Linked DNA regions of Saccharomyces cerevisiae S288C. Changing the gene in region 1 together with any one later gene gives a genetic interaction. Each region holds a gene or a part of one and is shown in the gene's direction. Other genes may lie near its edges.

Region 1 (3,759 bases):
GTTCAAAATGGTAGAAAAGCAATTTATTAATGGACTGAAAAATGGAAATGAAATCTTGAAAAAACTAAACAAGGAATTTAGCAATGTTGATGAACTGATGGACGATGTACAAGATCAAATTGCGTATCAAAATGAAATTAACGAGACATTATCTAGAAGCTTAGTCGGAACAAGCAATTATGAAGACGATCTAGATAAGGAATTGGATGCTCTAGAAAGTGAACTCAATCCAGAGAAGATGAATAACGCAAAAGTAGCTAACATGCCATCAACAGAAGGTTTGCCATCATTGCCTCAAGGAGAACAAACCGAGCAAAAAGAAAGAGAGGAATTCGCGACGGAGGAGAGATCAGACACTAAGGAACCTTTAGCATTACTATCCTGAATGTCTGTATGTAGCTTCAAAATTAAAAATAAAGGGAATGTAAATAGGTTCCTTCCAGGTTTTTCGTTGATAGAATTTGTTTAGTATTTTCAAAAATAAATACTAAGTTTATATAGTACTTTTATAGCTAAGCCAAGACGTGATAAATAGTCGTTAGAATTTTTATTGTTAAAATGAAGCATCAGCTATCATCTCTTGACTTGTTCCATACTACTAGAAGATTATCATATACGACATAAAAAGATGATATAAAGATTGAGAAAAGTCTAGAGATGTAATGGAAGTTTCTGTCCCAATTATGGCAACTATTAATTTATGTTAACCTTTAAATTTTGCTTGAAATAAAATGATGAATGACAATATATTAAAAGAAAAACAAAATAGAGGAAAAAGTTATAATATTATCGTGTAAAAATATCGATTCCTTAATGTGGATTTCAAGTCCTCGAGGTGAATTTCTCCTATAATCTGAATTCACAGCATCGTAGCCTTCATCAACAGCAAAATTTCTGGGGATAGTGGCTTTTTCTTTATATATTTATCCTGAATCAATGAACTTTCCTAAATTAAAGTTCTTGCACAATTTTCAATGGTCATGCCATGAAATAATACTATTTTGTTAAATGTCGGAGATATTTCAAAAAAAGAATAGGACATGATATTTAGGCCATATATTGAGAGCTACATTAAAAAAGATCCTATTATTAGAGGAAAGTTTCCTGTACGGTTGACCTGAAAAAAGAAATGTTCTTCTATAAAAGATTACATAAAATGTTTAGTCCATAAAACCATAAGTATAGGTCCAGACCATCACAAATAACAGGTTTCGTGGTCTAGTCGGTTATGGCATCTGCTTAACACGCAGAACGTCCCCAGTTCGATCCTGGGCGAAATCATTTTTATCTCAGCCGTTACGGAAAGTTTTTTAACGCCCGTCTGGCGTCCCACCTTTTAGGTAAAGACTCTGAAGTTACCCTCTACCCTCTTGGAATTGCGGCAGTAAGAATAGTTAAAAACATAATTTAGTAAGAAGCAGGATGTATATTTTAATTTATAATAGTGTGATGAACTCCCCTCCTAAATGCAGTACATAGTAAGAATTTCCATGAAAAAGAACAACTCAACTGCGACTGTTTGTTTTATCCTCAGTTTTCAGACTCCTCAATGCAGTTTTTTTCTCAGATTAAACTTTTACCTTTTCATCTATTTAGCCGCCAAGGGAAAATATGCACTACCCGGAATGATGGCGTTAAAAGTGACTTAATCTATAGACATGTCGCGACGCGACGCGTAAAGTTGTATAAACAAGTGAAAGTTTATAAACCTAGGCTCCATCGAAATTGTTGTTAATTGTAAAAAGACCTAAAAGAAGTTTATCCACCTTGTTAGTTTGTATCCGGTCTCAATTTTTACAGGTATATTTGTAAAGAAGCAAGAAATAAAGTGCGAACAAAATGGCTAAAGGTGCTGTTACTAAACTGAAGTTTAACTCACCTATAATATCTACCTCCGATCAGCTGATATCAACAAATGAACTATTAGATCGTTTAAAAGCTTTACATGAGGAATTAGCCTCTCTGGATCAAGACAATACAGATTTAACGGGATTAGATAAATATAGGGACGCACTAGTTAGCAGAAAATTATTAAAACATAAAGACGTGGGGATCCGCGCTTTCACCGCTTGTTGTCTAAGCGATATCCTGAGATTATATGCTCCAGATGCGCCTTATACGGATGCTCAACTAACGGACATTTTCAAGCTGGTGCTCTCACAATTTGAACAATTAGGTGACCAAGAAAACGGCTATCACATCCAACAAACTTATTTGATCACTAAGCTACTAGAATACAGATCAATCGTATTATTAGCCGATTTACCTAGTTCAAACAATTTACTTATCGAACTATTCCATATTTTTTACGATCCTAACAAGAGCTTCCCCGCAAGGCTCTTCAATGTAATAGGCGGTATTCTCGGTGAAGTCATCTCTGAGTTCGATTCTGTTCCCCTAGAAGTACTAAGATTAATTTTTAATAAGTTTTTGACCTATAACCCGAATGAAATTCCTGAAGGTTTGAACGTTACTTCTGACTGTGGCTACGAAGTTAGTCTAATTTTGTGTGATACTTATTCCAATAGAATGAGTAGACATCTAACTAAATACTATTCCGAGATTATTCATGAAGCAACTAATGATGACAATAATTCAAGACTTCTCACTGTGGTAGTGAAATTACATAAACTGGTATTGAGACTTTGGGAAACAGTACCCGAACTGATCAATGCAGTAATCGGATTTATATACCACGAATTATCTTCGGAAAACGAGCTTTTCAGAAAAGAAGCTACAAAATTAATTGGTCAAATACTTACCTCATATTCGGATTTAAATTTTGTTTCTACACATTCCGATACGTTCAAGGCATGGATTTCCAAAATTGCTGATATTAGTCCCGATGTTAGAGTAGAATGGACAGAATCAATTCCTCAAATCATTGCCACGAGAGAAGACATATCCAAAGAACTGAATCAGGCACTGGCAAAAACCTTTATTGATTCTGATCCTCGTGTACGCAGGACTTCTGTTATGATTTTTAATAAAGTTCCCGTTACTGAAATTTGGAAAAATATAACCAATAAAGCCATTTATACATCTTTACTTCATTTGGCCCGAGAAAAACATAAGGAGGTTAGGGAACTCTGCATTAACACTATGGCCAAGTTTTACTCAAATTCATTGAATGAGATCGAAAGGACATACCAAAATAAAGAAATTTGGGAAATCATAGACACCATACCATCCACTTTATACAATCTCTATTATATCAATGATTTAAACATCAATGAACAAGTCGACAGCGTAATTTTCGAATACCTACTACCGTTTGAACCAGATAACGATAAAAGAGTCCACAGACTGCTAACGGTTTTGTCACATTTTGATAAGAAGGCATTCACTTCATTTTTCGCTTTCAATGCAAGACAAATCAAAATATCCTTCGCTATATCCAAATATATTGATTTTAGTAAATTTTTGAACAATCAAGAAAGTATGAGCTCGTCTCAAGGTCCTATTGTAATGAACAAGTACAACCAAACTCTCCAGTGGTTAGCTTCTGGCCTTTCTGACTCTACGAAAGCAATCGACGCCCTCGAAACAATAAAACAATTTAACGACGAAAGAATCTTTTATTTATTAAATGCCTGTGTCACCAACGATATTCCGTTTCTTACTTTTAAAAATTGTTACAATGAATTGGTCAGTAAGTTACAAACGCCAGGACTATTTAAAAAATATAATATATCTACTGGTGCTTCCATTATGCCACGTGATATCGCCAAGGTAATACAAATTTTGCTTTTTAGAGCC
Region 2 (3,759 bases), on another chromosome or scaffold:
GGCAAGACAACATAACCTCTTTGGACGTGCCAGCTAATAACAACGTGTCCGGGTTGAACGTTATTTTTCTTCGCAATTTCAAGGATAACCGGTTCCTTCAATAGTGGAGCATCGGTACTACCTAACGGAGAATAAGCTTCAACCACAATGCCTTTACTTTTACAAAAATTAATCAATTCGTCTTGAGGTAGTAATGGATGTATTTCGACTTGGTTAGCAGCTGGCGTAAGCTTATTACCTTGAGATGCTAATAGATCTTTCAGGTTATTTATAGAAAAGTTGGAGACTCCAACGGCCTTAGTTTTACCAGTCTTTGGTAGTTCCTGCATTAATTCCCAGGTTTTGATGAAATTCCAATTGGTGATATCCACTGCACGAGAACCATCCTTCTTTGTTGGCACACTCAAGATGTCTTCATTTTTGATGTAGGCTGGATCTAATCTGGCAGGCCAATGCATCAAATATAAGTCTACGTAGTCCAATCCTAACCTCTTTAGTGATTGATCCAGCGCTACTTCAGGTTCGTGGTGTTGTGTACACCATAACTTTGTAGTAACAAAGATTTCTTCCCGAGGAACACCTGAATCCTTGATGGCTTGACCGACTTGGTCTTCATTACGGTAAATAGCAGCAGTATCAATGTGTCGGTAGCCATCTTTCAAAGCGGTTAAAACAGCCTTATAAGCATCGTTCTCTTTCGACTGCCACGTACCTAAACCTATTTGAGGGATTTGGGCTCCAGTATTTAGAGAAAGGATTTTCGTAGAATCATGTAAAGTAGCAGGCATTTTTCTATCTTAATTTAGTAATGAGAGCTGTCCAAATTTTAGCTTGCTAAGATGCACCTATTAAGCTCTCATCCTGAATCAAGTCATTAGAATGTCTTGATTCTCCCGGTTTTATACGCCCAGTAAAGCAATTCTTTACTGCCGTAGTCTTTTCCTGAAAGCTCGGTTTCTACTCTAGGGAATTAAGGAGAGCAGCGGTGTGCGATTCGTCACACGGGTGAATGCCTGATAGGCATATTATTAAGCCGTGTTTGCAATCTGCGTGCTAGATTGATTCTACCCCTTTCTGAGAAGGCGAAATGACCTTGCTATGACAATGAGGGAGAAAAGACCGCCCTTCCTTGTTCTTCCCCGGAATAGTCTGCCCCGATTGTTCGCCGGTGTTATAACTTACAATTCTTATACACTCCATAGGAAGTTTGTTGACAAGAGTTAAGTTTCAAATATCTAAAGCCAGGAAGTATGATCACCCAAGCATATCCATTGCAATATGTAAGACATTCAAGCGGATTTCTGGGACTTTAGAAAGTGAAATTTAAAAAAAAAAAAATTTAACAGAGGTCATACTTCCAAAAAAAAAAAAATGTAGAACTGGGCGAAATATCATCAGCTCATTCACTCTAATGCGGCCCTTCTGTAACCTCGAGCAAAGAGCCCAAATAACTTCATCTCTTCTCTCTTACGAACTGAAATATTCTCATGTTACCTATTGAGTAGTTGCGGGGACATTGGCGCGCGCAGAAAGAGTGAAAAATTTTATAGTGGAATATAGAAATTGAGATGAGATGAGATACTAAGACTAAAAATAATAGTAAAAAGAAGTTAAAACAGATTTAGAGATTCAAACTCCGTTATTTTTAGAAGGTCATGTCCTTGGAAGATAAATTTGATTCATTGTCTGTGTCGCAAGGTGCCTCGGACCATATTAATAATCAGCTCTTAGAGAAGTATAGTCACAAAATAAAAACTGATGAATTATCATTCAGCAGAGCGAAAACATCAAAGGATAAAGCAAATAGGGCGACTGTGGAAAATGTCTTAGATCCGAGAACTATGAGATTTTTGAAGTCTATGGTCACCAGAGGTGTGATTGCAGATTTGAACGGTTGCTTAAGTACTGGGAAAGAAGCTAATGTTTACCACGCTTTTGCAGGTACCGGTAAGGCACCCGTAATAGATGAGGAAACAGGCCAGTATGAAGTTTTAGAGACAGACGGATCCCGTGCAGAATATGCCATTAAGATTTATAAGACCTCTATCCTAGTCTTCAAAGATCGTGAAAGATATGTTGATGGTGAATTTAGATTTAGAAATTCCAGATCTCAACATAATCCAAGGAAAATGATTAAAATTTGGGCTGAAAAGGAATTTAGGAACCTGAAAAGAATTTATCAAAGTGGCGTCATTCCAGCTCCTAAGCCAATAGAAGTTAAGAACAACGTCTTAGTTATGGAATTTTTAAGCCGAGGTAATGGATTTGCCTCACCTAAATTAAAAGATTATCCGTACAAGAATCGTGATGAAATTTTCCATTATTATCACACAATGGTGGCATATATGAGATTGCTGTACCAAGTTTGTCGCCTGGTTCATGCCGATTTGTCAGAGTATAACACCATAGTTCATGATGATAAACTATATATGATCGATGTTTCCCAAAGTGTGGAACCTGAACATCCAATGAGTTTAGATTTTTTAAGGATGGATATCAAAAACGTTAACCTTTATTTCGAGAAGATGGGTATAAGTATTTTCCCTGAAAGGGTTATTTTTCAATTTGTCATATCAGAAACTTTGGAGAAATTTAAAGGTGATTATAACAATATTAGCGCCTTGGTTGCATACATTGCTAGTAATCTACCAATAAAATCTACAGAACAAGATGAGGCAGAAGATGAAATATTCAGATCGCTGCATTTAGTTAGATCATTGGGTGGATTAGAGGAAAGAGATTTTGATAGGTATACTGATGGTAAGTTTGACTTACTGAAAAGCTTGATTGCCCATGATAATGAACGCAATTTTGCTGCTTCTGAGCAATTTGAATTTGATAACGCTGACCACGAATGTAGTTCTGGCACAGAGGAATTCTCAGATGATGAAGAAGACGGCTCAAGCGGATCTGAAGAAGATGACGAGGAGGAGGGCGAGTACTATGACGATGATGAACCAAAAGTTTTAAAGGGGAAGAAACATGAGGACAAGGATTTAAAAAAATTGCGCAAGCAGGAAGCTAAAGATGCAAAAAGAGAAAAAAGGAAAACAAAAGTCAAGAAGCACATCAAGAAAAAATTGGTGAAAAAAACGAAATCAAAGAAATAATGCGGCCCTGTGAAAATACATTTGGGAATCGTTGTTTGGAGTCGAAGAACAGAAAGTAGGTCAGCAATTTAACGAAGAAAGTTCAAGACTAAAAGTGTAATATCAGTATCAAAAGTTTGGTACTTTTCATACAAGTGCAATAAATATTAAAATAAACAATAGCCTTATTTAGTGGTCTTGATTTTTAGTGAAATCAATCCCAATAACTAAAAACAGCAAAAAAGGCAGGCATCACATTGAACCGCCACCTTGATGTTGGCCAACTAAACCTGCCATTTCCAGTAAGGCACGGTCTTCTCCCAAGCTTCTCAGGTTAATTTGCTGTCTTCTTTTAGATTCTGCTTCTTCCCATTCCAACTGTTTGATTTGCTCTTCTAGTTCTTTCTCACCACCACAGCCCCATACCTCAACATCTTGAATCAAAAAATGCAATTCATAAGGGGAATTTTCCTCCTTTCTTTCCATCGACAATAAACCAGGGTCTAATGAACCTCCGTAACCAGTATTTCTAAACACAGCAAATTCTAATGTGCTGTCAAAAGTAAGCGACACGTTCCCTGGTATGTATCTCTTGGATGCTGGTTTTATTAATGGTTGTTTATCCCCGATTCCAATTCCGCCACCAATTGTATTGAAATAGATCGTGCCT

Evidence for each region. Genes that interact genetically often act in the same process or in processes that back each other up.
Region 2: mutations in PDS5 (region 1) and RIO1 together harm fitness more than expected from each alone (negative genetic interaction), as found in Saccharomyces cerevisiae (2 studies listed by BioGRID).

What each region holds. Positions count from the first base shown.
Region 1 is NC_001145.3:418,110-421,868, reverse strand, and holds the start of PDS5 (sister chromatid cohesion factor PDS5), read left to right. Parts: upstream 1-1,839; coding exon 1,840-3,759. Other genes in the region: ESCRT-III subunit protein VPS20, read left to right, coding at 1-385. UniProt on the Saccharomyces cerevisiae protein: Essential for the establishment and maintenance of sister chromatid cohesion at centromere proximal and distal regions during S phase. Also required for chromosomal condensation.
Region 2 is NC_001147.6:548,143-551,901, reverse strand, and holds RIO1 (protein kinase RIO1), read left to right. Parts: upstream 1-1,655; coding exon 1,656-3,110; downstream 3,111-3,759. Other genes in the region: glycerol 2-dehydrogenase (NADP(+)) GCY1, read right to left, coding at 1-788; RTC5 (Rtc5p), read right to left, coding at 3,342-3,759. UniProt on the Saccharomyces cerevisiae protein: Required for the final endonucleolytic cleavage at site D converting 20S pre-rRNA into the mature 18S rRNA. Required for the final steps of cytoplasmic maturation of the 40S ribosomal subunit.